Alligator mississippiensis: one gene and its partner. The protein of the gene in region 1 purifies or fractionates together with the protein of each later gene. This does not show direct contact. Links are inferred from orthologs where the notes say so. Each region holds a gene or a part of one and is shown in the gene's direction. Other genes may lie near its edges. The genes, in order: TUBGCP2 and MZT1.

The links.
Region 2: the proteins of TUBGCP2 (region 1) and MZT1 purify together in Homo sapiens (affinity purification with mass spectrometry; 4 studies listed by BioGRID and IntAct, counting the BioPlex papers as one, with this or other methods). This does not show direct contact. The link is inferred for Alligator mississippiensis from reciprocal best matches to the Homo sapiens genes TUBGCP2 and MZT1.

The regions. Positions count from the first base shown.
Region 1 is NC_081829.1:23,826,419-23,842,084, reverse strand, and holds the start of TUBGCP2 (gamma-tubulin complex component 2), read left to right. Parts: upstream 1-7,298; 5' UTR 7,299-7,452; intron 7,453-10,288; 5' UTR 10,289-10,325; coding exon 10,326-10,475; intron 10,476-15,666. Other genes in the region: ZNF511 (zinc finger protein 511), read right to left, coding at 2,840-3,041, 4,336-4,409, 6,987-7,127. UniProt on the Homo sapiens protein: Component of the gamma-tubulin ring complex (gTuRC) which mediates microtubule nucleation.
Region 2 is NC_081824.1:390,147,557-390,163,576, forward strand, and holds the start of MZT1 (mitotic-spindle organizing protein 1), read left to right. Parts: upstream 1-7,410; 5' UTR 7,411-7,453; coding exon 7,454-7,502; intron 7,503-11,881; coding exon 11,882-12,027; intron 12,028-16,020. Other genes in the region: BORA (protein aurora borealis), read right to left, coding at 965-1,010, 3,284-3,390, 4,758-4,913. UniProt on the Homo sapiens protein: Required for the recruitment and the assembly of the gamma-tubulin ring complex (gTuRC) at the centrosome.

The DNA.
Region 1 (15,666 bases):
TTGTAGGCGGGGGGGGTAACTGCTCAGGAGGGATGGGTCCTGCCATCCCCCTTCCGCATGGCGCACAGGCCCCCCACAGGAGTAGCAGTGGCTGTCAGGTGCTCGGGGCCCACTGCTGGCAGAGCTCCCCCCTGCGGTGCGGCACAGCTCCAGCTTCCTGAGATCCAGCACCACCTGTGCCACATGTTGCAAGCCTGGACTGGGGCTGTAAGTCTTCAGGCAGGATTGGGCTGCTCTTCCTGTCACCCGGGGCCCCGGCACTGCATACAGGGGCCGTACATTGGGCCGGGCTGGGCCCTTCCTCCAAGAGCCCTGCACACTGCTGGGCTGGGTCGGCTCCATGGAGGCAGGATCTGGCCTGGCCAGACGTGCAGCCCCTGCGTGCAGTGCCAGGACCCTGAGTGACAGCAAGAGTCTCAAAGGCGCAGAACCCTGGGCAGGTGGTTCCGGGTCTCAGGTGGCCCGGGCTGTGCCGCAGGCAGGCTCTGCTAGCAGCAGGTCCCGAGTGCCTGACTGCTGCTTCTGCTGCTGTGGGGGACCCACCCTTCCTGAACAGTCCCCCTCCCCCCCACGTCCCTACTTACCAGGGACAGCACCTGGGTCCAGGTTACTGCTGCAGCCTTGCCCTGCTCCTATTTGCCCCAGCACACTGAGGCAGCATGTTGGGGCAGCAAGAGGAAGGGGCAGCCATAGAGAAGCTTTAGCAGGGTGCCAGAGTGTCTCGTTGGAGGACCCAGCCTCTGGTTGCCTCAGGGCACACTCCAAGATGCCACCTTTTTCCGAGGGGCGGGGGTTGATACTGGGATTTCCTGTTATCAAATTTAGAGTCCGTGTTGCAAATATTTTTTGTGTGGTGAACATTTTTTTGTTCCCAGTGTGCCTCTTGTGGCATCTTAAACTGCTTTGAGACACTGCAACAGCTACATGCCTGTTTATATATAGTATAAACTATGCATTTTTTAATTATTAATTTTGCATCTCAGGCCAAATCAGTCAAATTAGTTTTGAATTTCACCCACTGAGCACAGCCCAGTTATTCAGGTCCACATGGTGTTACCACCAGCAGGTACAAACTATGCATTTCTTTTTTAAATTAAATTTCGTGCCTCAAGTCAAATTAGCCAAATCCACTCCAAATTCCATCAACTGTGTAGAGCCCCATCGTTCAAATCTATGTGGTGCTACCACCAGCAAGTATCTTACTTCCCAGCCTCTTCAGCCTGGGCTTTAAATACTCCCGTGCAAAACCAAAGCCAAAAGGCTCCTGATTTACCTTATAGTTCATTGAGCTGGACCCCAGCACAGTTAATTTTTTTCAAGCTACGGTGACCCCACAATTCAGTATATGTGTGTACTCCAGATACCCCTCACAAACAATTCACGTGCTAATTACACACCCACTCACGATTACAACCAAATTTCCTTTGTCACAAGTCTTGGGATCTTTCAAAAAAATTATATGCAGAGGAGGCACAGAGCAACCTGGTCTGACTGCACCTCATGAAGAGCAGAGCTGCACTAATCATATATGAAGGCTGACAGAGGGGGGTGACAGAGGGATTCTCGGTGAACTGTTTGGGGCCCCATTTGGTGACGTTTGCTAGACCTTTAAGGCTGGTGAAGAAAATAAATCACTGGAAACAGGAAAGTCTCAGCTCAGCTGTTTAAGTGAAGGCGAAGTCAAAATGTATGAATGCAGTGGCTCACTATGACCTGAAAAAGTCAGTGCTGAAGGTGACTGCACGCAGTGGGCACTACCATTTATGTTATACAGATTATGGCTGAACTAATCTATCCTTGTGGCATGTTCCCACCAGCATCTTGGCCTTTTGGGTAAGATCAAGCATTTTTAGCACCATGGGGAGGGTGTCAGGGCTGGCTCTGGGCCTCCCAGTGCTGGACTGGTATTGCAGGGGTGGCTCTGGGCCTCCAGGCTTGGTGCCAGCTCCCTCTTAGGGGAGCAACTGCCTGTTTGTTTTTTTTTAAGGGCCACAAAAGTTTCCCATCAGTATGTTTACCTAATACAGGCCATGTGTTTTATAATCATGGTCAGTGTTGGCTGCATTTAATCAACTTCACAGTTGGTTTCCATTACTGAGCACATGCTGCTTTTGGCAGCAGTTTAATTAGGCAATGTATTTAATGAGGTTTCCTTGTATGCAAATGTAAGATGAGTGTCTTTTTCATCTTGTATTTGAGTAATCAGATCAGGGGTTGACAGAACATGGTCTCTGATTGCTCATATGTGAACTAGAGTCATGTTGGCAAATCTCCATCAGCACATTTGGGACAAGAGCCATTTACCTGTAGTTTTCTACCTTCTCCATTTCTGGCATCCTTGGAAGAGGTTAATCAAAGTCATACACGTTTCCCTCCTCTATATTTATCTATCTACACCTCCCCCCCCCCCAAATAGAGGGGGAGGGATAGTCTGTCTTCTAGGCAAGAGATCTAGCCTTGCTTTTCCCTGGACAAATTTCTTACCTACTCCAAACCTGTTTCCTCATCTGCCAGACAGGCATACCACTTTCTTACTGAAAAATATGACTGTGAGGCTTAAAGCTGATGAAAAACTTAGAAATCCTTTGATACAAGTAATTTGAGGCTGCAAAGGATATCACTTTCTTTTTTCACCTGAAATAGCTTGTGTCTTGTACTTTGTTCAGACATAAAACTTATTTGTAGTCAGTGAGAAGTGACTAGGGTATGGCAATTTCTATCAGTGAAAAGGGGGTCAAGCTGCAAATTCAAAGAAAGAAAAATGTTTGAGACCCAGAATTTTAACACTAGAAAGTTCTCAGGCACTGGATATTTAAGAATAGCTTTACTTGCGACTCACCATGCTTTGCTTTTCTGCCATTATCTGGAAGAGAGAGTCATGCCACTCCAGGATGTGAATATCCAACAGATGCCCTGAAGGAAAAGAACGTTTGCAGAAAGAGCACACATTCCTGTGTAGCGTGTTGTAGTGATGTTCATAACCCTCTAAAGTATCAAAGACCTGGCAGCATCCCGCAATATGACATGAGAATTCAGACACCCTACAAAGAAGTGATGAAAATAGTTGTATGTAGGTTATGTCCAGGGATCATGGGTCCCCCTACCTCCCTGGGAGTATGAGCCAGAAAGGGGTGCAGCCCCGCAACCCAAGCCCACAGCTGGCAGGCAGTAGGGTGCAGGAGGCCAGGCTCTGCTTCACAGCAGCAGCCGCCGCCTCCTACCAGAGGCGGCCCCAGGTCCCTGGCCCCATAGCCCTGGCAGCTGGAAGTCTCCTCCAACAGGACTGGGGAAGCAGGAACTGTGGATGGGGGGCAAGGGGCACCAGCAGGGCTGGGGAGCTGTGGGGGGGAGTGAGGAGCAGGGCTGGGGGGTTGCGGTGGGGAGTGAGGGGCACCAGCAGGGCTGGGCAGCTGCCGGGGTGGGGGGGGACTTTCATTTTAATCATGGATTTGGGGAGTTTTCTCAGAGAATTTTTTATTTTTATGAGAGCATAACCAGGATCCCTGATTATGTCAAAGCCATCGACAGCATATAAATCACTGCCCTCTGGAAATTTGCATACACCTACATAATGTGTAGTTTTAGGTAGCTTTGATTACAGACTAATCAATATAGGGAAAGAAGGGGACTATTAAACTGGAGGCACAACAGAATTGGTTTATGAAGACAAAGTAATTAGGAATGCTTGTGTGTGAACTCACACGAACTTAAACTCCTTATGTGAGTCTCAGACCAGCCATAATCTGCATATTAAGAATATAGTTATGCATTGTAAGGATGGACTTCTAATTTAGTAGGGAATTAATTAAAATTAAGCAAAAACATGAGGTGTGAGCTATCCAATTTCAAAACCACAACAAGGGATTAAAAATCCACATTTGTAGTCCTCTGAAAGGTAGCTGTATTTACCCTCAATCTCTGTTGTCTTATTTACCTAGTCAACAGCCAAAATAAAGAAGACCACAAACACCTGAACCTGCACCTTACCCTCCCCCCAGCTTAGTGTCTATATATTCCAGTCAGGAAGGACCTGATGGTAACGATTTGTGCCAGTCTAAAAAATAACATTTCTCTGTTGACATACCGTTATGCACAAGCAACAATAAAATGTATACCACTATATAAAAGGCAGGAAATTGGTTTCTTCTGATCTGAAATCAGACACAATTAAAAGTCCTCCACAATTACTTTCATTAGTGAATCCAGTTTAGAAAGACGTGTACAAACAGAAAGCAGAGACTACAGAGATAGCTAAGAGGAGGGCCAGAAAAATTATCAAAAGCCTCTTTTGTCAGCAGACCTCACAACACAATTTGTATGATATATGCCACTTACTTGGGTTTTTCAGTCACTTGTGTAACACTCACTAGAATATCTTGGAGATACAAGTGTCTGTGAATGTCTCCATCCTAGAACAGAGAAGAGAAATTATTGCCAGTCTACAGCAGTGCACATTCAAAAAACACATTGAAAATCATTTTTATTCCTAACACGACACTCGGCTAAGGAAGAGAAAGAGGTGAGAACATCAATTGGGGGCAAAGGGTCATATATTGCCCCAACTTTAAATCCAATCAACAGAACAAATTAAAAACATAACTTGGCCCTCTTCACAGAATATGTTTGATGCCTCTAGGGTAATGTGCAGATACACCAATACCCTTTACTGTTTCTATGAGAATAACTTCAACTGCTTATCACAGGTCCTTTGTGACTCTTGCTCCATAAGGTCAGGCCTCTATCATATGAACTAAGGAAAAAGCTCCTTTAGGGCCCAGAACCTGCAGACACCTATTCAGCATTTAGTGCCCATGAATTCAAGTATTTGTGGACTGTGCCCCAAATGTTAGTAGCAGAGTTCTTTCTCCTGTTGCTGAGAAGTTCCAACTGGCCACAACTAATACTTCACAGAGACAACTGTGTTCCTCATGTGCTTGTTACAGTATTTATTTTTATAAGACCTTGAAAGTGGGCCATGTCCCTTTACAAGATCCACTTTACTATATGTAATTCATGTCTACACAGCTTCTTTTCTGCCACCAAAACCAAGTTCATGCAGCAGTGTGCATCAAGACCGTTGGCCACGTAACACGACATTCTAGGAATATCTAGGCAGCTTTCCAACCACCTCAGTGGGCAGAGCAGGCACTTTGGAGATATCCTACAGCACAGGAACCTGTGGCCAAGCACAGGAACCTATGGTTAGTGGCTAAGTAGTTACATGGCAGAATTAGAAGGCTCCGTCTCTAGTGAACCAGCAACCTGCTGCCTGCCACCCATCCACTGATTTTTGTTAGTCCATACCCCAGCCAAGGGCATCCACCTATGAGCTGCCAACCCTGCAGGCAAGTAGCTATGGCATGGGTGGCCAGCCTGTGGCTCTTCAGAAGTTAATATACATCTCCTTGAATCTTTGCACAAGCACACAGTCCAAATTGAAGCTGGTCACCGTGTGCTTGTGCAAAGATTCAAGGAGATGTATATTAACTTCTGAAGAGGCGTATGTGACTTTGGAGCCGCAGGCTGGCCACCCCTGAGCTATGGGCTCAGTTGGGAGTGCCTCCTTAGTTTATAAGGGAAGCCTCTTCAAGAGACAGGAAAACATCACAGAAATCATAGAAAATTAGGGTTGTAAGGGACCTCAAGAGGACATTCAATCTAACCACCTTTTCAAAGCAGGACCATCCCCAACTACATCATCCCAGCCAAGGCTTTGTCTAGCCAGGTATTAAAATCCTCCTAGGATGCAGATACCACAACCTCTCCAGGGAGTCTGTTCCAGTGCTTTACCACCCACTTTGAGAGTTTTCCCTCATATCTAACCTAAACTTCCCTTGCTGCAACTTGAAATCATTGCTCCTTGTTTTATCATCTATCACCACTGAGAACAGCTCAGCTCCATCCTCTTTGGAACCACCCTGCAGGTATTTGAAGGCTGCTATTAAATCCCCACTCAGTCTTCTCTTTTCCAAACTAAATAAGCCCAGTTCCCTCAGTCTCTTCTAAGAAGTCATGTGCCCAGCCCCCTAATTATTTTTGTTGTCCTCTACTGAATTCTCCCAATTTGTCCACATCCTTTTTGTAGTGGGGGGCCCAAAACTGGACACAATACTCCAGGTGTGGCCTCACCAGTGCCAAACAGAGGGGAAGAATCACTTCCCTCAATATGCTGGCAATGCTCCTACTAATGCAGCCCAATATGCCATTAGACTTCTTAGCCCACAACCCAGTGCCCACCTCTGCCTGGCATCTGTCACGCCTCACCTGGCAGGGGAGGCATCATCTGCATGGCCGTGAATGACTCCGGTGTAGTTACATGGGTGACCCGTGCTGCCTTAGTCGGGGGAGCATGTACCCCCCCCTGCAACCAGTCTAAATGCCCAGGGGGAGGGTCCCCCCGCAGCCAATCCCACTGCCCGGAGGGAGATCCCCCGCGGCCAATCACTGCAGTCACTTCCATAAGGGGAGAGCCTGCAGCGATTGGCCAGGGCTTGCAGGGGGGGGGCCCCGGCACTCCCGTTTGCCCGCCCTGCCCATCACCTAAGCAGGGAGCGCAGCCAATCAGGCGGTGCACCAGCGCTCTCAGGGGTGCAGATGCAACCCCGTGCACCTCCTATGCATCGCCACTGTGTAGGTAGAAGGTGAAAGCCTGTCTATAAACGTTTCCAAATGCGAGCACTTCGGCTACACAATTTATGGTGAAGGGGGATTGCTTGTGGGATTTCCGTCTAACTTGCTCCTTCATCCTTTTAACTAGAGGCAAGTCAGACGAGGGAGCACCTGACCTCCACGGCCTCTGGGCTCAGAAGCAGAAGGCCGGCCATGGCCTGGGGAGACGCTGAAGCGCAGGCTGACCAGTAGGGGAGGGGGGCCGTTGCCGGCGGCAGGGCCACGCAGACTCAAACCACGGAGCTGTGTTCAGCCGAAATCCGGGAGTGAATCTGGAACCGCTGCGCCGGTGAACCCCCACGCGCGGCGGGCCCTACCTCCAGGAGCTCGTGCTCGCGGGGGCACCGCAGGCGGCGGGGCGAGAAGCGGAACGGGGCCTGCGGCGGGGCGCGGGCCGGCGCGGGCAGGAGCGGCAGCTCGGCGCGCACCGCGGCGCTCAGCCCCGACAGCAGCAACATCCCGCCGGCCCGGCCGGCGCCGAGGGGCGGGGAGAGGAGCGGACAGTTCACTTCCGGGTCAGCCAGGACTGAAGACCACGACTTCCGCTCGGAGGCAGCTGCGAGACGTACAGCCAGGCGAGACCCGCAACCGCCAAGCACGGGGGGCGTGGCGCCAGGCCTTCGACTCTGCTCTCTGATTGGCTCTAGTGTCTCTACCGTCATCTCTGTCTCAGCCAATCGAAGCTTGCGCGGCTCGGCCGCGGCGTTGGCCGTCACTGTTTGTCGGCTGCGAGGAGGAGGCGCGGTGCTGTGAGGCCGCTCCGCGGTGACCGCGGCCGGGCAGGTGGGTGCTGCCGCCGAGCCGGGCCGGGCGGGGGGAGCGCGGCGCCGTCTCCCCGCCCGCCGCGGCGCCCCAGGCTCTGGCTCTGGCTCTGGCTCTGGCTCGGGAGCGGCGAGGGGCCGGATGCCCTCCCGGAGCCTGAGCGGGAAGGGTAGCGGCGGGGCCGGCTGAAGGTGTCTGAGAGCAGGGCAGGCGGCAGCTCAAACATCATGTATATGGGTCCTTGCAGGCGGTTTTCCTGAAATGTTCCCAGGGATAATTGCTCCTCTGGCCTGGTTTAGTACGCCGAGGTGTTGGCGCTTAAAACCCACTGTATGGAAATGGGAGGCTCCTCCCTAGCTTGCTCCTGCGACCTTATGGCTGAAGGCAAGCAAAACTCGGGGGCATCAAAACCCCGAGCCTCCAGGCTTGGGCCTGCCCATAGGATGCCCGCCAAAAGCCTGGAAATATCTGAAGCTTCTGGTGGGGGTGGAGGATGTTTGCCAGTTGTGGGGCTACTTATGGTTTTGGACTGACTCACAGATTTGGACTTGGTTTGGCTGATTTGGCTCAGAACACAAAACATTTATTTAAAAAAGTTTTGGAGCACCTGTGCAAAGCCCTTGAGCAGCTTGGCTGCCGCGTTGGGTTGCAGCGTCCCTCACGGTCCCGGCCGGGCTGCGAGCACCTGGGACGTTTCGGGCCGGCAGCAGTCCTGCTCGCTGTGACTCGCTGTGCACTGAGACGACGCTTCCCTTGCTTCTGCTATCCCTGTGTGTCCTGTCCTGTCCTCCCTAGACTGGGTCTGATGTTATTAGCTGAAGCAGGGCCTTTCTGGCTTTCTGCGGATTCTATGTTCTTTCTTTTTCTGGCCCTTTTCTACTTAAGTTATTTACTCACAAGAATTCAAAATCTCTCGTTTTCTGCTGTACTGAAACAGGATTTTCCTTCATACTTTAGTCCCAAATGTGAAATTAACTTCTCTGTTTAAACTTAGCGTTATTTTTCCCTACAGATTTGCTGTTAGTATGTTAGTTTCTTATAGTAGTTTTTGCTGGTCATTCCCAGTGAAGCTAAAAGCAAACACAGTGTTAAATTAACCCGGTGTACAGTAAGTTCTTTCCCAGTAGCCATAAATCTCTCTGAGGCTTCAAGAAAATACATGATGCTAAAAAGCAGAAACTGTGTCCAGCTTGGCTGGCAAGACTCTGCAGCCCAGAACTACAGTTGTGTTGGCAAAACTAAGTGACTTTTACCAGCACTTGGCAGCTGGCAGAAGACGTGTGGCCCCTTCTCTGCCTTTTGATGGTTGTCCTGGTGCCTTCCAAGGTTGCACATTGTACTCTGACAGCACAGCTGCTGAATTTGAGCTGCTCAGAGCCACAAGAAATGTATGGATGCCCACATCTTCTGGTGGGCAACTGCTGTCTGGTCCCAGACATTCTGGTAAGCAGAGCCAGGCAGAAATCTCCCCTTGGGTTGTCAAAGCTGAGAACATCTGCTGTGATGTTCTAGGTTCTCAAGCCTCTTCTAGACCAGGATTTGGATGTTGTTCAGGCTCTTAGCATACCTTAGTCTAGATAAGGCTTCAGTCTGCTCATGTGAGTTGAGCAGAATACTAAAGCAGGGACAGGCCTGGCACATCTGAGACTGTTTTCTTCTCTATTATCTAATCTAGGTCTCCATACTATGCTCTTCAGCTTGGTATCTAATAACAACTTGCTCTTTGTTTCCTGCTGTTGAGGTTCTTTGATTTTCTCCTGTGATTCTTATTTGACATGTGCATTTGCAATGCACTGTTGGTTAGTGGCCTTTCTGCCGTTCAACTTGTAACTGGAGAGGACTACATCGGCATCAGTGGGTTCACAAAACATACTTTACATTTATCAGTGTAACTAGTGAGAGGCTCTGGATCTGTCCATCAGATGAGCTAAATATGGTAGGTGGAAGAAGCCAAGAAAAAGGGATATTTTCACTTTTGCACACTGTCTCACATTGATTTTGTTAACAGGTTGCCTATGTGGGGAGAGATCAGAATAGCTGTTCTACTCTCATCTTTCTGGAGTAGCTCCCTCATGTGGACACTTATTCTGAGATAAGTGGCTTCTGTTTCAGAGTAGCATCCAGAGGAGGAACTTGTTCTGCAGTAGCTAAGTCTTATACCAGAATATTTATGCCAGTTAATTCTCACTGCATAGACAGTTATTTTAAATCAGCTTTTATCATTTAAGTTCACATCTTATTTGGGCATTTGCTGGGAAACAAAAGTAACTATAAGGGACTTGCATTTTCTTACACCAAGATAACCACGTATGCAAGCCCTTACCAGCATGCAGAGACATCTTCAAATCTAGTCTTTACTGAAGAGCACTTACTTAGTACTATGCAAAGTGTTTAAGTGGTTTAGGAATTTAAGATTTTGTCTACATGTGAGATTATTAAGGCACCTTATGCATTATGCCCAAAGTCCCATTTTCAGAAATGATTAAATACTTGAGAGTCAAAGTCTCATTGAAAGTAAATAGGCTTTTAGTCGCTTAAGTATCAAAGTTACTTTGGAAAATGGGACATGGCTTGTTTAGCCAATATAGCTGTACTGGTAGAACTATGCTGGTATTCCTCATTAGTGGAAATAGTTTAAGAATAGATATACTAGAGCAACTTATTCTAACCATATTTATATCGTTTTTGTCAGCTATGTCAGTTGTGGGTATGACTTTCCCTATTCTATCTTCTAATCAATAAAACTATGCTGGCAAAATTTTAAGTGTAACCTGTGCCTTAAGCATTTAATCCTTCTTTAAAAATTTACCCTGACCGATTAGTCATAATGGTAAGAGGTTCATTTTGTGCTCTACAGTCTGTGTATTTTGAAATTTGTAACCGCAAGTGGAAGCATGAGTGAATTTCGTATTCATCATGATGTCAATGAGCTGCTGAGCCTGTTGCGTGTTCATGGAGGAGAAGGAGCTGAAGTATACATAGACCTTCTGCAAAAGAACAGAACTCCTTATGTTACCACAACTGTCTCTGCACACAGTGCCAAGGTAAGGTAGCCTTGACTTTTTCTAGGCTGCAATAATAATTGAGATAAGTTTTAATTAGAGGTTGGTCTTCCAAAGGTTTCTACTCTCACTGATGTCACTGCAGAAATTTCATTGACTCTAGTAATAGCAGAATCACATGTAAAGAAAGAGAAATTCAAAGCTAAGTTAGTAGAAAAACAAAGGGTATCCTTCCCTGTTGCTGCTTTGCAGCATGTCCGACAGGAAATGAAGCTGAGGTGAGGCTGGCAGTGGGGAGAAAAGGTGATCTGGTCTGCAGCAGAAGAGGAAGGAAAAGTAAGATCATATTTCAGGAAGGGAGGGGAGGGGGTTTGGCTTTCTGTTCTCAGAAGCGTTGTTAAAATAAGAGGAATTTGCTACAGCAAAGAAATTCATGGCTTGGTATCTGCCTGTGGCTGGATTTTGCCTTTCACTAAAATAAAAAGGGTTCCGATTTTGAGGAATAAAATAAAAAATAGATATTCTGTCAAAAACACTTAATAAAAATCCAGCTTTTTTTTTTTTTTTTTTTTTTTTGACTTAAGCACTTTTAGCATCCTGTAACATGGGGGCAGGCAATTATTTCAGCTGGAGGGCTGCTGAATGAGTTTTGGTGAGCTGTCAAGGGCTGCAAGGGTAGCCCCACCCCTTGACAGGTACTTTACCTCCTGGTCACCATGTTGGGACCTGAAGTCTAACCCCTGACCTTTGCCACCGGAAGTCCCTTCCCTTGTACCCCTGGAAATACTCCTTTTGGGAAGGGAGGCTTGCCATCTTGGAACCAGAAGAAAACCAATTCATATACTGAAAGTCAAACACCTACTATAACGTACTTTAGTTTTCTTACAAAAATTATTTTTGTCATGATTTGTGTTTGTGTACTGAATATAGAGCTGATTGCATAATAACTAAAAATAAAGCCTTACTCTTGTATATAGTGTGTGGGAGGTGTGAATTGTGGGGTGTGGTTGGTGGGGGGGTGTATGGTGAGGTCTGGCTGTGTGGGGGGCAGTAGGGTATGTTGGGGGTGTGTGCATATGTTGGGAGTATGTGGGTGTGAGGGAGAGTTGGGGGTTATGGGGAGCCCCTACACATTCCTCCATCCCTCTCCCTCATGGCGCACAGCTGCGCTGGCAGCAGCAGGCAGGGATCCTCGGGGCACTTGTGGCTGGCACAGGCGCTGCCACCAGCAGCTTGTGGTTCTGTCAGTTCTACACATGGCGGCAAGTAGCACAGCCAAACCAGCTTGCCTCTATCGTGCAGGGCTCTCCGCAGCTCCCACATTTTTGTACCACCGGGGGAAGCCCCCCGTGATAGAGCTGGCTGCCTTTGCCACTCCCTGCTGCGCAGGTCCTGGGACTCCATGTGGAAGTAGGGGACAGGGCTCCCCTCCACTTCAGGTGGAGTCCTGGGACCTGCACAGCAGGGAGCAGTGAAGGCAGCTGGCTCCATTGCGCAGGGCTTCCTACGGTGGAGCGTGAGTGCTGGGACCTGCACATGCAGTGCGTGGAGCCCCATGCAGTAAAGGCAGGCTGGCCTGACTGTGTTCCTTGCCACCACGTGCAGTGCTGGATGGAGCCACATGCTGCTGGTGGCAGTGCCTGCGCCAGGCATGAGCACCCAAAGGGCCCCCGCCTGCTGCTGCTGCTGCCATCAGTGGGGACTGTGTGAAGGAGGGTCCCCACACCCCACCACCCTCCCTTATATCCACACCCTGCTCAGCCAAGCTCCGTACTCCCACTACCCCCTATGTGTGGGCTCCATGCTGCTGCCAGCCCCACGTTCCATGCTTCTGCCCAGCTGCAGCTACCATTTGCCCCCACCACTTCCCTACCTGCTGTCCAAAGCGAGCAAGACAGCAGGGAAACCAAGCAAGTCCCCCCAGTGGCTGCAGCAGTGGCAGCAGCAGCCCTGCCTAGAAGCTGTGTGCTGGCTGGGCTGGGCCTTTCTGCACGAGGTGCAATATGGTGTGTTGAGGGTATGTATATATGGATGCCTTGCTCCCACCCCCATGGCCAGAAAGGCTGGGAGGGGTACAATTTGTTGGTGGGCATCCATGGGCCAGATGAAAGTGCCTGGTGAACCAGATGCAGCCCGTGGGCTGTATGTTGCTTGCCCCTACTGTAACAGAACTGCTGCACCAGGGTGGCTGTCATGCCCCCGGATGGCAACTTGGCTCCTGCTCCGCTCTCTCTCAGGCACCCTCCCTTTCCTTTTTCCTGCCATGCCTTGGTCTTATTAACAAACTTGGAAAGGGAGGCTGCTCAAGGGTATTAGAGTGAGCATTTACCCCAGTGCTTCCCAAACTTTTCAACATGACCCAATTTATGACCCCATTTCCTCCTCATGGCCCCTCATTCCCAAACCACAGTACCCCATCCACTGATTTTGTGGGTCATGACCCCAAATGGGGTCACAATTTGGGAACTGCTGATTTAGCCTGTCCTCTTACCTGCAGATCCCTCTTGGACCCTGCTGCTCCCAATCAGTCTGTCCCCATCTTGGCCCACATATACCGCCTCCCCCCAAGGGCACCTGTAGCCCTATGGGCTAATCATAGCCTCCAACCTCTCCTGTAGCTGTGCCCATGCCTCGCAGGTGTACCAATTAAACACTTCAGTGGGCTCTAGGCCCCAGTCTCTTATCCAGACTTTTCCCCCTTTTTGGTCTCTTAATCTCTGCCCTTCCTGGGACTGGGCTTCCTAGCCTGTTTCTGACCCTCTCCCCCCCCCAGGCTCTGAGCACCTGGCCCTCCCTTCTTTGGACACTGGGCTCTCTCTAGCCCCTTTTCTACCATTCTTTGGGCCATGCCTGTTCCCTTCCTGGGATGTGGGCTCTTGCTAGCTTTGGCTTTGTCTCTCCTGGGCTGCTTGTCTGGCCCCCCTTCTTCCCCTCACCCCCCAGCAGGCTCAAGCCTTATTTGCCAGTGGGACCTCCTGTCCTCCCTTAGTCCCAAATCAGGTCCCTGGTTAAAACTCAACTAAAACAGAAGTCCACTTCCTATAACTAAGGACCTACCCAAATTGCTGAAGCAGGCAGCTGATTTTGTGGGTGGATCATGGGACTGGCCACCACTTTCATGGGCTAATCATGGTGGGGCAACCCCTTGTGGACTCGATCCTTGCCGCAGATCCACCAAGAGGACGCTCCATCATATGGCCCCACCCCTTGCCACTGATCGGCCAAGAGGGCTGTCCATCATGCAGCTCTGCCCTTTGCTGGTGATTGGTGGGGAGGGGCAGGGCCACACAGTGGGCAGCCATCTCAGCCAAGCAGTAGTGGGGGGTGGAGTCAGACATCTTGGCTGCTCCCCTTCATGCTGGCAGCGCTCCCACCCTCCCCGTTCCCCTGGCAGGCTATGTGCTGAGCCACAGTGGCCCTGAGGACTTCTGGCTCCCAATGGAGAGTCAGCATTTTAGTTTCAGTAAGTCGTCCCATGTCCTTCCTCTCCTGCATGTTTCATGGACATTGCCCGATTTCTTGACTTTCGCTAAATTGTGAATCGAGTAGGTCCCTAGCTATAACTTAATTCCCCAAGCACGCTGGCTGTCTTCTGAAATTTCCTTCCATACCAAGTCTCATCCCCTGCCAGCCCTTGGCTCCTTACTGGCATGTCTTAAGGATAGTAGGATCTCTATTGAGCTCTCATCAGCCGGCATCTTACTGCAGAGCTCCTTCCTCTTCAGCCTCCAGGGCCAGACTAACTGCTTAGGCTCTGGCCCTGGTTTATATGCCACCAGAGCCCTGCCTCCTTCTAGTCAGGTGACTCCCTGAGCAGCCTGTAGGTGCCTTCTAAAGAGCTTACTGCCCGTACGGATAACCTATAGCAGCAGACCTAGCAGTAATCTTGCCTCGTCTCTCCCACAAAACTCTGTCTTGTACTATGGCTGGAACCTGCTAGCAGTGCAGTAGGTTTCTTGCTGCTTCCCTCAAGTTACTCTACTATTGTGCTATTGCTGTGCAACTAGAATAGCAAAGGGACTTCCTATTTATGGGCTCTTGCTGCCTATTCCTTTATAGCTAGCCCCACTCTTGACTGCCTGAGCACAGTTAACCTATTTTTCTCTCTAAGTAACAGGAGCCATAGGCTCTGTTGCACATCCCATGTGTTTGGGGAGGAGCCTGAAACTTGCGAGGACCAAGTTAAAAGTGGCAGAAAATTGCCTTTTGTATGTGTGTGATGGGACTTGTTGAAAGTTCAGTCACTGTTTCTTAAAGTTCAAGACTTCCCACATAGCACTACATGTGTTCCAAGGCTCCACTGAACTTTATGCATCTCCTGCTACATGAAATTGTAACTTCAGACATGACACACAGAACTGGAAAGAGCCTCCTGGGTTATTGAACCTCAGTATCTGCATACAGGTATTTACACAAAGATTCCTAAAAATCCTTGCTTGAAACCTTCACACATGACTACAAAGCACAAAACTAGAAACACCAGAAACACTTTACAGCAGGGTGGCCAAACTGCAGCGTCTGTGTGTCCTGTGGGAGGTTGGCTGGGGGAAACACAGGACAGGGAGCAGAAGCAGAGTAAGTGAATGAACAGGGGAAGGGAGTGAAACTTTGGGATGTTGTACATGGATAAAAGTAGAGGACGTAAGAGTACATATCCTGCCATTGCAGTGACAGGTAACTAATTGATTAATATATACGCTCAGTAGATAATAGGACAATGCCTCACGCAGCAGAGAAAGGCAGAACAACCCAGGGTTGTTGCTAATATGACCAAAGAAGAAAAAATATTTTCTTACCTCAAATTTTGTGATTGCTGTAAGTCTGAGCAAAAAGACATTCTAGCCAGGAATCTTTGAGTTTTTTTAACCATGCGGGTGTTTGAGAAAGTAACAGCAATTTTGAAATAAAACCATTGTGTGTGCAATAAGTGGAAAAGTGCACAACATCAGGGAACACTGGTGGTGGTGGCAGCATTGTAAATGATCATTGGATGCACAGTGGTTTTATTTTGATATTGCCATTACCTTCTGAAATGCCCTCATATAAGCAGAAATGCCAGAACTCCCAATCAGAAATACAGACTGTGCTCCCTGCCTGATCTGCTCCTTTGCTTTGTGCTTCCTGTCCAATCTGCTCTGTTTTCTGCTGCCTGCCCTATTTGCCACTGTTCTGCAAATGCAGATTAGAAGAAAGTGTGTGTGTGTGTGTGTGTTCATAGGCTGAGTCCCACATG
Region 2 (16,020 bases), on another chromosome or scaffold:
AGAACTCCAAAAGACCACAACCATTTTTGACACTATGAATTCCTATTTGAAATCTATGAAGTTATGTATACGTGCTTGTTTCTATACACAATAGGGCTGCGCAGAACACCTGTGTTTCATTTCAGTTTCGGCATTTTGGAGAAATAGTGTTTCGAATCATTGTCCCATTTTGTTTCAGCCGAAACAGTTTCGGAGCCGTTTTGGAATTTCGATGGTATTTCGGTTTTTCAGCCATAGGCTATAATGGGGAAATATAAAACTGCCCCATAACTTCATCATTTTTTGTCTGATTCAGATTAAACATGCAGAGATGCTAGCTCCCTCTGAGGCCATGAAGCCTGCTAAGTTTCAAGGCGATAGGTGCAGGGGTTTCTGGGAAACTGCACCTCAAACTCTTCAAAGCAAAACTAGTATCACTTGCCAGCAGCATGCTGTCATCCCGCATGCAGATCCAGGGGCCTGCTCCCCCTAGGAGGAGTCTGGCACAGCCTCGCAGCCCTCCTGGGGGGTGTGGGCCCCTAGATCTGCATGCGGGATAACAGCAGGCTACCACTGCCAGCTGGTGCCAGCGCCAGCACTGGGTTCTTCCCAGCACTCAGCACAGGATGCACTGGGCAGACTCGAGTGCTGGTGCTGGCCCCAGCTGGCAGCAACAGCATGCTGCCATCCGCACGGTCCACAGCCGGTGAGCGAGGAGCTTTAAAAACAAAAAATAAATTAAAAAAAAAGCCCTGCACTTACTGGCTCTGGCAGTGGTGACTGGGGCCTGAGGGCTTGTGGCAGAGCCCCTGCCCCGCGCAGCACGGGGCAGCGGGGGATCACCACCCCTCCCCCACCTCACATCTACACCATCACCATCACACGGGTGCAATGCGGCACAGCAGGGCACTGCACGCTGCACTACTGTTCATTTTACTTGCATAACATTAATATACAATTTAATATAAATATCAGTCTTATTTACCTCTTCAATTGCTTTTTGTCTTTTGTCTTCCATCTCTTTATCTAGTCTAAATAAAGAAAATTAAAAAGCAGCAAGTTACAAATACTGTTATTATATTTGAGGTTCTGGAAATTAGAAGTTCATTAAGTGTACACCATTTAATAATCTTAAACTAAAACTAAGTATCAAATTTTACCAAATAAATCCATGCTAGGAATAATTCTTATTATGTGCAGTTCCTCTGTAACTATCTACTTTAAAAAAACCCAAAAAACTAAGTTCCACAATAGACAATTTTAATAGCAACACTTGAAAAAAAATAGTCTTCATAATAGATCTCTTCTTCCATCTAAATCCTGGAATAAAATAGAGCTTTGCTTATAAAAATATTCTACTTCTAAAATTACTATAATGTTAAATATATCCTTATTTTAAACACGACAAAGAGATTTACTATGAAGAATAATACCAGGTAGAGGGGGGAAAAAACCGCAGTGGAAAGCACATAAAGAAACATGTATGTCAATGTAGTTATTTCTGACAGTTTCTACCTGTCCTCAGTGTATAAATCCCTCTTCAAACAGTATGCACGTTATCCATCTTATCCCAGCCAATATACAAGAATCCCAAATTTCCAGTATGAATTGTCTCGTGCATTCCTTTTATATAATCTTATACAAAATAGTAATTCCAAAAAAATCTTATGTTAAATTATATTATAGTTTTCTGCCAGTTCAATTTTCTAACCATTATTCAAATCATTTATTTAACTGCACCTTTCAGTTTTCCCTCCCTGTCAACAAAGTATATATTAAAACTCTCCTTTCAGTAATTAATAACAGTATAATTCACAACCAGAAGAAACACATACTGACAATTAGTTGTATAACCTCTTGTACAGAAAAGTATTTCAAGTGTTTGTATATGGTTATTATATGTGAATAGCTTCAGATCATGTTTTTATATTTAGAAACCATTTGGGACAAATACCTGAATAACTGATGGAGCTATAAATTAGTTCAAAACACTATATAGAAGCCCTTTGTTGCATTACTGAACCTGGTTATTTATAAGTATGTTCATCCTCTGTTATCTCCCTTTCTCCAGTCATTTTTCTGACTAGTTTTGCAATACCTCCAGAAAATTGCCACATATAACTAAAAATGCAGATAGAACCAGTGACATGACATTGTAGTGAAAGCATCAGCAGTGACATAACTAGGGACCTACTCAAATCACAATTTCATGGATACTGTAGATATTGCGAAATCCACAGGAAAAATAAAATAAAATAAAAACTTACTAAAAATAAAATGCTAGCTCCCCAGTGTGAGCCGGCAGTCTTCCTGGCCATGCACACTGGCACTAAGGGGGCTGGCAGCACTATGGCAAGCAAGCAAGAGCCACTCCCACCCCTCACTGCTGACTGGCTGAGAGGGCTACCTGTTATGCAGCCCTGCCCCTCTCCACCCATCAGTAGCAAGAGGCAGAGCCATATGACAGTGAACGCCCTCTACCAATCAATCAGCAGCAGTGGGGAACTCCACTAGGGTCCCTCAAGCAGAGGCACAGGGAGCCCCACCACAATAAGCCCGTAAAAATGGGAGCCAGCCCCGTAACCTGCCCGTGAAATTGGCTGGCTGCCATCTTGACTTGGGTAGATCCCTAGACATAACTCTTATGATACCACTATGGTTGCTGCTGCATATGAAAACTGTGAAAGCTTGGACAGTCTCTTGCGTAAAAATGCAGGACAGCAGCTAAGACCAGACTGTGTTGTGGTAACAAAACTGCCACAAGAAATATCAAACTCTGCTAATGGCCTGCAACCCATTAGGCACTGAAACAGTGGAGTGCTTGCAGTACCCAATACCAGACCCATGCCATAAAATAATAAAAGTGGTTAAAGTTGTTGGCAGAGTCCTGATGCACTCATCACGTGTGTGTACCTAAAAAAGCCCTACACCTGTGGAGGTGTAGGAGAGTTGGTCAGCCCTGTAAAGGCAGGAAAAACAAACTAGAGGAAATTCCCCACGTACCAGTGACTGAAAGGTGTGCTTCTGCCCAAAATCTGTAATCCAGCCTCTTTACAAGATTGTTCCATGGAGCTTGGCATGACAAATAATGGAGAAGCAAGATTTTATATCCATAACAGAGACTTAAAAAAACAAACTAAAAATCTAAATAACTGCAGGGAAAAAAGCAATGTTATATGCACTATCATTTAATAGAAAATGTTCACTCTTTATAGAGATACATTAAAAATGTACATGTGTAAGCACAACTTTCAGGTATTCAAATATGACTTCAGTTCACTAGGTAAAACAACAAGCAACATACCTAGCATGACTTAAATACATTGCTTGACGTCGAACATCTTCAGAGTCAATTTCCACAGGATTTATTAGAGCCAGCTGATCAATAGACCACCTAAATTTTCCTGGGGTCTAAGAAAAGAAGGAAGAGCATAGTGTTTACTATTCCAAGCAAAAGGAAACAAAACCCACAGATCTTTAAAAGGAACGGCACTTTCATTACCTCACTAAGATGGCAGCAATTGTTTCAATCAGTGAAAGCTAGATATTTAAACAACAAAAAAGGAGAAAGTGACTACTTACATTTTAATAATTTTATTTTTAATAACCAGTACCAATACCATAGGAAGTGAAACAACAAAGTCTATCTACTATTTTGCATTAACTGATGCTTTCCATTATCGAAGCTCTTAACAAATATGTCTCAGAGAACTACTATGAGAATACCACTATGCCCCTTTCACAGATGAGTAATGGAGATGGAAGTGGTAAATGATGTATCTAAGGGTCAGATCCGGTTCAGAAATTAGGTCCCTAAATTCAAAACTGAGATCCAGAAATACCTGTTCAGCTGCCATCTAGCCCTGTAGGAGCCTGAAGTCATTGGTGCCTAGAAAATTTTAAAGTCAAGAAGTATGTCACCTAGAGCTACATCTCCACATGTGGCACAAGATGATTCCTGTCTGAACAACTAGGGCCAAAATCATACCAAAGACCAGCTAAAATTCAAAACCTAGAAAGTCCCCTACCTAAGTCCCCTGATAGACATGAACTGTGTCTTCAGAGCACACCTAACATGCATCCGTATACAAGGCTTCATTCATACAAAAATGCAGTTATGGCTGCTTTCTTTTTAAAAAGGGAAAGAAGGTGCTAGTGGTGTCCATCTTATGTGATAGCCCAGTAGCTACAGACCTCACCAGAGACCCAGATTCAAACCTACATCAACTACCTCCCTATGGAGTTATTCAGGTAACCACTGGACTCTGCATGTTCTGTGGTAGAGACACTTCCCATCCTCCGTGTTGAAACTAGGCCACTGTATAGAAGAGAGTTCAAGCCTTAAACAAGGCCAGATAAAGCATGGAGTAGGGGGCATTATGACTATTGAGTTTAAACTTACACCCAGCCTACTTGAATCAAAATGTTGGAACAAGTGTTACTGCAGACAGCATTTCTCTAAAGAAAACCTAGCTAACCAGTATTGTTCATCTTTAACTCAACAATACTATTAGAATAGTGTCATGTACAACTAGCTGGGTTTTCTTAAAATCACTAAAACTGCAGTAACATCAAGACTTTCAAAACAGTTACACAGCACTACAAACAAACCAACCATAGTAATACTGTAAGTTTCCACAGAAGGAACTATGTTTAAATTCTTGTAAAAATATTTCAAGTTGTATTACAAATCATGTGTACTTTACGAAGTGTGAAAAATGTGTATGTGGAAGTATTGCTATTTCTTCCATATTCATGTACTAAGGATTAAATCTTACCGATGAGGCTTTCGTTGATTTAAAGACAGAAGGACTGGAAACCACGTGTTCCTGCAGACTATGGTAATCACTTGGACTTTCAAAAGGGTTCAGAACAGCAACCCGTCCTGGAGTTTCCGGTGTTATATGCATTTTAGCTTCTTTTCTATCACCCATAACACAGTACAATACCTAGAAGGAAAATAAGAAGTTATAATTTTAGATCATTCAGTACCCCATGGTTTTGCAGTAAGAAACGATCGTTTCGAGAAACATTAGCAATTCAAAATCTAGTCAGACTGAAGAGAGTACAAGAAGTTTAAATTTGGTCAGTTTTCTGATCGGTTTCAGATAAATCAGAGAAAGAGAATTAGGCCCCTGCTACATGAGACATATGTTATGCAACTAACTGGTTAATTGTGCAATAAGTGTAGACCAGCTACATGTGCAAGGTAGTTATCATGCAATTAACTGGTTAACTGCTCAATAAATTTAGGCCAGCTACAAGTACACTGTAATTATCACAGGATAATGACTCTATACCTGGTTTCTATACCTGGTTTTAATTTGAAGGTGAACCTCAGTGAATCCATCATTCAGATGCCATTTTCATTGACCCAGTACAGACCCCAAAAAAGGTTTACTAGATAAGATAGCTAAATATGCCCCAGGATATTTTGAAGAGCATCTCAACAGACATGTGGGGATTGCATCACTGGATCAATGCCAGAAAAGCAGCCATGCGTTCAGCCACTAACTAAACTCCAACTGGAAGGGCAACATGTACACGGCTATCACATGACTTTTCTGTTCCAGGACAATTACCTGCACAATTGGTCCCAGGACATACAAGATGCCTGTTCATACCCTAAGCGTGATCCTATTCCACCCAGTTTGAATTCCTGGCCAATCATCCAAACCCATACATCTTGCTTTGTAACTGCACTGATCTTAACCTTAAGACTCCATCACAAAAAAGTAGCAACAAGGAGGTGGAGAAGGATCCAATACGGTTTTAAGTTTTCCTGGGGCTTTCACAGTGGAAGAGAACCACGCCTAGGGACTGTTGAAACAGACGGAACAGCATCTGGCCTCAAGTGTCTGAAGAAACCTCTTTACTGAAAGGCTGTATATGGAAAGCATAACGGTATACAGGTACCACTCAAAACCATGCTTCTCCCAGAGAAGACAGAACCTTTTCTTGGATAAAACCTGCATCCTCCACCCCCCTCCCACCCACAAAAATGAGTTCAGGGAAAATGGGATGTGCATTATATGCAATAAATACTGATCCTCAAGACAAGTCAGTCCAGAGGCTGCTGCGACCATTGGGGTACCTCAGACCCTGTAACAACCCTCCTCCGCTCCACGCTGTGTTTGACTAGCTTTGTGCACTCTTGTCAGTTGAAGCCCCGCCCAGCCCTTGATACCGATTCCCCCAGGTCTGGAAATTTTGTGGGGGAAAGCAGTGGCTGCATTAACTAGAGTCCCAAGCCAGATGACACAGCCCTAGCATCGACTGGAGCCAGCACACAGGATTAGAGAGCAGCTTTAGCCCCGTTACCACAGACAGGGGTTGAATCCAATGAGTGCCCTTTAACCCACCACACCAGATTGGGCAGATGAGAAATATCTGGACTGGGCACATGGCCCCAGCACTGCCTTAGTTGTATGCTTATCCCGGAAAGTAAGAACTTTTTCTTCTCCCTTCAAGCTGGCCAAGAAAGTCAAGTGACACATGATGCACAGGGCCTGTGGCAGGCTAAAAAAAAGCCACACTATTGCCACTGAAACTTTATTTTTAGGAAATTAAGTGAAATATGCAACCAAACCTGGAGGGGCAGTGGGGGAGGAAAGGAGGGGGAGGGAGGGAGAAGGGACGAGGGACCCCGAGGCTCTTTCCTTCCTCCAGCTTTGCATCCGCAGAGCCCCTCGATGCGCCACTTCTGGCCTGTTCTGCGCATGCGCGGTCGTAGGGTCAGCACCTCTCAGAACCCCGATTCTCTCCTAATCCCGGCCCGCTCTGTGCATGCGCAAAGACAATATCCCCCCCCCCCCCCAAGGAAATAATCAGCCTAGGGGGGATGGGGGCTCTAGCCCGCACTAGCCCAGGAAGGCCTGTGTAGAGGGAGAGGGAAAAAAAAGATGACCCAAAAATTGAGCGATACCTGCCTCCGCCCGCGGATCCCTGTGAAACCGCCTCTGCCTGACCCCAGGCAGCTCTTTAACTGGCCCGGCCCCCACGCTCCGCCGCTACCCAATCATCGAGCGCCGCCTCACCTGCCTGACCAATCGCGTGGCAACCGCTCTCAAACAGCCCAATCGGCGCAGGGCTCGCTTCACAAATTCGAACGAGTAACCCTCCTCACGGAGGAGTAGGTGGGGTGTATTTGAAACATCATAGCGGGCCGGGCAGGGACGGAAATAGCTCCTGAGGTGTAACTGCATGCGCCGGCGAGAGGTGGGATTTTTGGGGGGGGAGAGTTGTTTTGTTTTGGGGTTTTTTTAGTTTTGTTGTTTTATATAAAAATAAATTATATTTTATCTTTTCCTCCTAACAAGGAAATATAATATATTTTCATAGAAAATATAATATATATTATATGAATAAATATATACAATTGAATGTATGTTTTATGTATTTCCCTGTTAAGAGGGGCTTCCGCTTCCGGGTTTGTGCTTCCGGGTGGCGGGTTAGGCGCACGCTGTCTGTCACCATGGCGAGTAACGCGGCCAACTTGAACGCTGTGCGGGAGACCATGGACGGTGAGTTGGGCGCGGGCGCTCGCTGCGGCGCCCGTTGGATCCACTCGTATTTGGCGTCCGAAGCGTCCGGAGCTGGACCGGCCTCAGCAGGGGTTTGCGGCAGCAGGAGGAGCAGCTCTGTTCCTTCCCCCGAGGAAACGAGCGCCGCCCTGGTTTCCCCCCCGCGCTCTCCCTCCCCGCGCGGTGGGCCTGCAGACTTTCCTCCCGTGCTTGATTTGTGCGAAAGAAATACGAGCACGGGTCAAGACGAGAACAGCCCCGCCGTTAGATGCCCAGGAGCAGTTTAGTGTTCAGCGACAGATTTCCAAAACACTGATGGGGGTAGGAGGGAAGGGCAGAGGCCAGTAACGAGTTCTCCAAGGGGCCCCTTGGCCCCCGTGTGATCCCATGGAGTGAGCCCGCAGCACTGCCCAGAGGCTGACGTGGATGAAACAAGCCTATTGGACACCCACGGTGGTGTCCTAGGCCTTGAGTCCTGGAGCAAGGGTTAGCCACTGCTAACGCAAGAGGGGTATTAGGTAGGTACCAGCTAATTACAAAGCGGGAATGGAAGTGAAGGTCAGAGGGTCATAGCTAGGGATCCTGGTTTTCTCTGATTTAAAAAGTATAAAATCTAATTTTCAGATTAAAGCAGTAACTCAAAATCCACATGTTCCTGTGGTTAAAATGAAAAGCCACTAATATATAGATATGTATCTGTAGCTTGACCAAATCCACTAGATATTAGTGGCGCTTCATTTTAATTGTGGAAAAATGTGGATTTTGGGTTACTTTTGTCTTAAACTGAAAATTGAGAATTTTTTTAATCGGAGAAAACCAGGATCTCTGTTCACAACAAATGCACCAAGAGGGGGCTGTGAGCACAGGACACTGGACAGTGCCCACTGGCCCTTGAACAAGGTGGATGAGAGGCAGGAGGATGACCTTGCAATCACTGGGGGTCCTCTGGGCCAGAACCTTCTTCCTGGTCAGGCAGATGGATGCCGGGTAAGATGGAAGTATGTAATTGACCCAGTAACTGACAGGTCTTATGAAGTGCTGTGACTCCATCACCAGGAGGCAGGAATGAGCCCACTATATCTGGACTTTTTTCTTCAGGGTCCAAATGGTGAGGGACTTGTGGCTAGGGGCATTTGCCTTTTCTGCTTTCCCTTCTGTAAACCCAAGTGCAGTGGTGCAAAGTCTGCCATGGGCTTGCCTCATTTGGGGTGGTCTGGGGGAATGGAGGGGGGGAAAGTGCTTAGATTTGCACTTTTGACTTCCTAGGGCCTGGGGAAGTATAATGAGGGGCCACAGTGGAGTAGGGAGTGCAGATTCAGCTGGTTGTTGGATAGCTTTGGTTGAACGAGCAGTGCAAAAGAGCTCAGTGATGAAAATGCCAACACAAGGGGAGACATGTCAGAGGTAATAGAGTTTGGGAGAAAGAGGTTGATGCAATGAGGAGTTAATGGAGGACTGACCAAACTGGTGTCATGGAACATTTTGTATCCACATCTAATATCACAGTGAACTGGTTCAAAAGGTACCTGGAAAATCAAGCACCACTTTTGACCTGTTCCAGGCAGCCTTATACTGTTATAACAGGCCTGTACACCTGTCTGTCTCAGATTCAAACTACATTTACACTAATCTGAGTATTCCTGGAGTCCAGACCCTGAATTTTTCTGTTCATTGTTCTGTTAAACAATGTAAATAAGCTCTTTCCACTATGTAATCAAGGTAGTGATTTTCTGTAGCTTGATCAAATCAAGTATGCTGGGTGAGCTTGAGATATTGTCTCTTTATAACTATTTTGTTTTTCAGAATCGGGTCCTATTTTGTTTTTTGCAGCACAACTTTATTGTGCCCATTTCAGTTAGTTACAAGTCGGTTTTTTTCTTTTATTTTTGTGACCAGGCACAAATGGGGCAGAATGAGGTTCACCCTTCAGTACCCAGTCTTTGTCTAGAGAATTCTTCTAATCTCTCTCTAGACATAGTGAAATAGTGGGATAATTAGATACAATAATAATGGAACCTGAAGGTACTTTAAAAAAATTGAGTAAAAATAGATGTTAGTGTTGCTCTGATGTTGTTTTTTTTTTCCTGTCAGCAGTAAGAGTTACAGGAAAATGGCTGAAGAATTTTTAGGTTCATCAACTGTGTCCATTAGTAATTTTCACATATGGAAACTGGATAGGCCTATTGAAAAGACCTTTGTAAACAATAGTTTAGGGAAGAGCTCACAATGGTGGTATAAAATATGAGAGAGAGATTGCTAAATATTCTTTCCTTCAAACTTGTTAATTAGTTTAAGAGTTAAATTTCTTGTTTGAGGGGAATAAGAAGCAACACTTCACATTTACTTGAATGAATGGGTGGCAACAGAGGGTTTCAAACACTAGTTGGGAACATAGGTCTAGAAGGGTTGATCATGTTCCATGCCCTAATATCAAAATTGATGATGTCATACAGTCACTTTCATAAACTGCCTAAGCTCCATTTTAAACCTAGTAAGAACTTCATACCCATTACTGCTGTTGGAAGGCTGTTCCAGAGCTATTTAGTTTTCATGGTTGGAGATTTTCCTCTAAATTTCCAACCTAACATTTTATTATACTTCCAGTTTCTATTCATTGGTTCTTGATTCAATGGTTATCTGATTCAACTTCTATTTTAATGTTTTACTGTTCTCAAGAAACCAAAGACACTTACTGAGTAAGAACAAATCATAAATTGAAGTACCACTTTCCTGAGCTGGGTTCCAGCGGCACTGTCAACGTGGTTCTGGAAGTCAGAGATTACCACCACTCAGCCCTTGCCTGCTCCCTGCACACATCTTTGTCTGCTAGGGAATTCTGGGTTACCATTGGCAACTGAGGTTCATGGCAGAGAGAAAATGGAGGGCAGTGCAGGGAAGGTGAGCAACAGCAGAATTCACCTTCTGGGTTCCCGAGCTGTAACAAGCCATTGCCCTTCTGCCAGAGGTGGATTGTCTGGGCAGCCAGAAGCCTTGAATTGGACACCCTTGTATTAGGATATTGCATAAAAGGTGGACACTGCCTCCTCTGGCTCTGCTTTTTAATTTAAGTAGCTGTCTGCTGTGCTTTCTGAATTAAGTGCTATCACATGTATAGGATCCAGGCCCCTCAGAGGACTTGCACACAGGAATACCCAAGTTTGTGAATCTTGACATGCTTAAATTGGAGATAATCACCAGGCTATCCAGTTTTGCCATGTTTGTGACAGTTCTGAGCATTCCTGCAAGGATAACTCTAGGTCTTGGAGAACTTTGCTGGCAAAACTTATGACACCTGTAGAATTTCATTCGTGTAAGTGGCTCTTGTGTGCCCCTGACATATTGTTTTGGGTAACATTGTGAAAGTGCCTAAGTCTGTTTGTCTTTATTTTTTTTAAGTTACCTAGGCAGTGAAGACCTTAGTTCTGTTGACTTTCAAAGAAACAGGCTACAATAGGCCCAGATGTTTAAGGTATTTAGGTACCAAGAGGAATTTTCAAACGTGCCTATCATCCTAACTCCCAGTAATTTCAGTCATGAACACTAGAGTGGTTTTAAAATAAGGTTCCTGAATTATTTATCAGCTTTTCAGAATTTATCCTTTGCCTTGCTTCAGTTCTTTAAGTGAAAGATGAGGTGAATAGTACTGGATTTGCTCAAATCCAAGACAAGGTTTTTTGGGTTTTTTTTCTGATTTTAGCATTGGGGTGGTGGGGAGCTGTTGTTAGCAGGCAGCTGCTGTGGCTCTGACCCAGAGTCAGTGTCAGAGCTGCTACGTCTACCCGCCCCTTCCCCATCATTGCCAGTTACCTTCCATTTCCATCCCCACTCTAGCCTGGGGCATGGAGCACATGGTTGAGACTGGTGTAGCAGCTCTGTGTTTACAGCAGTGAATCTCAGCCTTTTTAGCCTCAAGCCACCCCTCCATAATCTTTGAGAATTGTGTTACCCCAGCAGAGTCACTGAACTATGCATGCCTTGATGTTAAAAAGATTAAGAACCACTGGTCTCCCTGGTGCCAGGTAAGAGCAGAGGGCAGGACCTTACTCTGCCTTGCTGTTTCCACTGTCTGCTCCTTTCCCATTCCTGATTTGTCCCTAAGGGGACAAGGGCATTCCCAACTGCTGAGGCTGCTCCTTCAGGGTCTTTCATATTGATAACTGGGGCAGCTGGCACAGGAACTACCAGGGGGTGGAGGGAAGAGCAGGGGAGGGCAACTGCAACAGTAGTCTCCAGAGGAGACCCAGGTGCCTGTCTAGCTGGGAGCAGGCAAGGGACCCCTGGCTAGAGGAAGAAAGCTTTTACTTCGTCATATGGGCTGGATGGTACAGCACTCTTAATGTATAAAAACAAACTCACGATTTTTTTTTTAATAATTGTAGTTTTATTCGAGATTTCAAGAATATTAAACACTGGCTTGGATATGGAAACCTTGTCTATTTGTGTACGGCTTTGTGAACAAGGGATAAACCCAGAGGCCTTATCCTCTGTTATTAAAGAATTACGTAAAGCTACAGAAGCTCTGAAGGTAAGCCATCTTTAAAAACAAACTCCATATGTTTTTCATTAAAAAAAAAAAAGTTACAAGTAATTAGAAGTTCATGTAAAAATTGTGTACATTCTCATAAAAATTAAAAATCCAAGGAAACAAATTTTGTTGGCTGTACTTAAGCAGCTGTACCTAGTAAGGATTTTTGTCAGTAGGATAAGAATTACCGTTTACTGGGTCAGACCATAGATCTTTCTTGCCCAGTATCCTATGTCACACAGAGGCAGAGAGTAGATGCTGAAAGGGAGAGTGAAGTGGGTATGGCCAGGGTTTTCTCCACTGTTTTCTCTCACTTGCAACCTCCAGTATTTAGGGTTTAGGTCAGGAACTTCTGATTCAGAGGCTGTATCCCCAACTCCACTGCTAATAGGTACTGATGATAATGAATAGCTAATAGCTACTCTTCCAAGAGTTTGTCCAATCCCTTTCTGAATCTCTAAACTGTCACCATCCACAATATCTGGTGGCAACAAGTTCCACACTTTAATTGCATGCAAAGTAAAAAAGAGTTTCCTTTTGTTGATTTTTAACTTACTACCTGCTAGTTTCATTTATGACCCCTAGTTCTTGCATTGTGTGAGAGAGTGAATAATAAATCCCTATTTACTTTCTCTTCACCATTTAGTATTGTAAGCTAATTATGTCTTCCCCCCAAGTGTCTCTCTTCAAAATGAATAGGCACAGCCCCTTTAGTCTCTCCTCATATGGAAGGCTCTCCTTAGCACTAATCATCCTTGTCCTTGTCTGTATCTTCTCTAGTTCTTCTATTTCATTTTTGAGGTGTGGGAACCAGAACTGAGCACTATATTCAAGGTGTGGATGCTCCATGGATTTATAAAGTGACATGTTGATACTTTCTGTTTTGTATACAATTCCTGTCTTAATGTCAAACAAAATGTTGGGTATTATTTTGATGGCTGCTGAGCACTGAGCTGATGTTTTTAGTGAACTGTCCACAGTGACTCCCAGATCTCTTTTCTGTGTAGGAACGGCTAATGTTGAGCCCATTGTAGTATATAGTCTGGGTTATTTCTGTCCATGTGCATCATTTTACATTTATCTACTTTGAATTTCATCTGCCATTTAGTTACCTATTCACTCAGTAGTGCCAGATCCTTCTGTAGTTCCTCACAAGCTGCTTTGGTCTTTACCACTTAGAATAATTTTGTGTCATGTGTAAATTTGGCGACCTCACTACTTCAGCTCTATATCTGGGTTAGTTACTCTTAATTGAGGAAGAACTTACTTCTTAAGTAATATTATACAAAGTTCATTTAAAAATCTAAGAAAAGGCTATAATCTTTATAATGTTCTTTTACACTGTCTATGCTCCTTTTTCATATGAAACTATCCTAAAACCAAAGTATATTTTAGATCAGAACTGTTCAACCTCTAAGCAGCTCAGGACCACACTAGTGTGAGCCAACTCATTGGTGGCATCCCCACCACCAGTGCACTGTGTGTGGGTGGCCCTCACCCCAGCTCCCTTGCTGCACCACACTGCAGCTCCCACAGCACCGTAGGCTGCGCCACACCACCCCCGGGACAGGAAAAAAAAACAAAAGCTGAGTGGGGCAAGGGGAACCTGGAGCCCATGGCTAAAGTTGTAGGACTAGCTGTGGCCGAATAGGCCCAGGGACTGCCAGTTGGACAACCCTCCTTTATATGGTCAGCAAAAACATTATTTTAAAGAGACTATACAGTGAATATTCTAAATAGTTTAACTACCCTATTTGAGCTTCAGAGCCATTTTGTAAGAGCAGAAAATATTATGTGATTGAATCCACTGTACATGTAGGTTATTTATTTGGAAGGACAATTTCAATACAAAACCCAAATATAATCTTGGCAAAATGTTTGCTTTGCACCTTCATGTGGTCAGAGATTTTCCTTTTGGTCTTTTTTTAAACTGTATCATGAATCCACTGTCCCAAATTTGTGTAAATGAAACTTTGGACTTTGGTATTAAACTGTAACAAAGCAGAAAAGCATACTTTCTATGTATTTCATCAAATGTGGAAGAGAGCAGGTGTGCATAAATTGTACACAAACTGTTCTGTTCTTTCTTTATAAATGACAAGAGGGTGTGATCTTGTCGTTCTGAGCCATAAGTACTGTATGTACTCAAATCCAAGATGAAGGTGTTTTTTTGCCAATCACCAATGGTGGGGAGGGGAAAGCAAGGAAAGATGGTAGTGCAGCCTCTGACTTGAGGCCAAGCTGGAGCTGTGTTGCAGTGAAGAGGAGGTATGCATGGGGGAGACTGCACAGCTTTCTCCTGTTCTCCCAGTTGTTTAGAATTCAGCTCTGGCTCCGACCCTTACGGGCCTGACCCGCCTAGACCTAGAGCTGCCACTGCTGCTTCTCCCTGGCCAGGCAAGGACCATTGCTGCTGCTGACAGCCCCACAGCCAGAGGTAAGGAATTGGGGATGTTATGTGCCCAAGGCACAAAAGGATTGCTAAAGCATAATCAACCCGTAGTGAACATGGAATACACCTCGCATCATTCAGTTGAACTAAAATCTAACTTTATTAACATACTAAGTGTATTAATAGTTTCTACATAGAGAGAAAAACACTTAGTTGAATTGTCTCACCTAATCCCAGGTGTTACTTGACTTCACTGAAAAGGTGGCCAATCAGTTCCTGAACGTAGAGGTGGTCGTATATTAGGGCTGTGCAAAATTTCAGCAGCCATTTCATTTCAGAGGTGTTCTGGCTCACGAAAACACCGAATCCAAAATGAAACTGAAGGCTCCGAAACATCTTTGAAACTAAATGAAACCTTCTGAAACGTGTCGGAAATGTTTTGGAGGCGCCCCCTGGAAATTGTCTGGCACAGCCCCGCAGCCCTCCTTTTAAAGTGCCAGGAGGCTGGGGTGGGGGATGGAGCTGAGCAAGGCAGCCACGAGGGCTTCTCCTGTGGCTCCCCCCACCAGGGCAGAGGCAGGCACAGCCAGAGGAGCCTCGGGAGAACCTGCAGCTGTCTGGCTTTGCCTACCTCTCCCCGGCCAATCCAAATATCTGAAACAGCATTGAAATTCCAAAACAGATTCGTCCGAATTGAAGTGGAACAGTGATCCAAAACACCAAAACAAATCACTGTCCTCCGAAACGGCCAAAACCGAAACGAAATATAGCCTTTTCACACAGCTCTTTCATCTATAGGTAATGTCTGTTTTTTCAGTCCAGATGTTGAATGGCGAGACGCACACAACTTCCATGTTCCCCCCTTTTATGCTTTTTCTTTAACTTCATTCCTCTGACTCTTCTTTTCCAGGTACCGTGGGTTGGTTTCCCTGTGATCATCATACTGTTCATGTTTTTATCTTGTCAGCATATTTCTTTGTTTCAACATCACATGCACACATCTTAATTTGGGCATTCCCCAGACTTCTGATTTGGTCTGTCCATCAACTCCAGAAACTCCAAGGGCTCTACAGTTGGGCACTGTCCAGTTGGTCCCCCCTTATCACCTTTCATTTAACATATCCAATCATATTGTCCCTCTGATTCAGTTGAGTGTCAGTTAATTTGAACTCATAAAAGGGCCTACATTTCACATGCGTGTGTTAGTGACACTGGAACATAAGCTGTCTGTGAAAGCGAGCTCAAGGATAGCTGATGTGTAGACGCAAGCAAAATGAAAAAAAAATGTTCAAATAATAATGCAGCTATACAAAAACTTAAGCAGTGGTTAAATAAGGCTGAATATAAAAGAAAAGTTTGAATAAAACTATAATTCACCTCTTAAGCAGGTGCAAGTAAAGCTAAATGTGATAAGCTACCCTAATGGGGAGGGGTGCAAACAGTGGGGGGGCAGGTGGAAGGGGGTCAAGCATGGGGATTGCAAGGGGTGGAGGAAGGGAGGCAGTGGGGATAGTCCTGGATAGGCATGGGAACTGGTACAGACGAGGGTGCAGGGGGCAAAGGTCAGGCAATGGGGGCTTGAGTGGCAAGGGAGGGCAAAC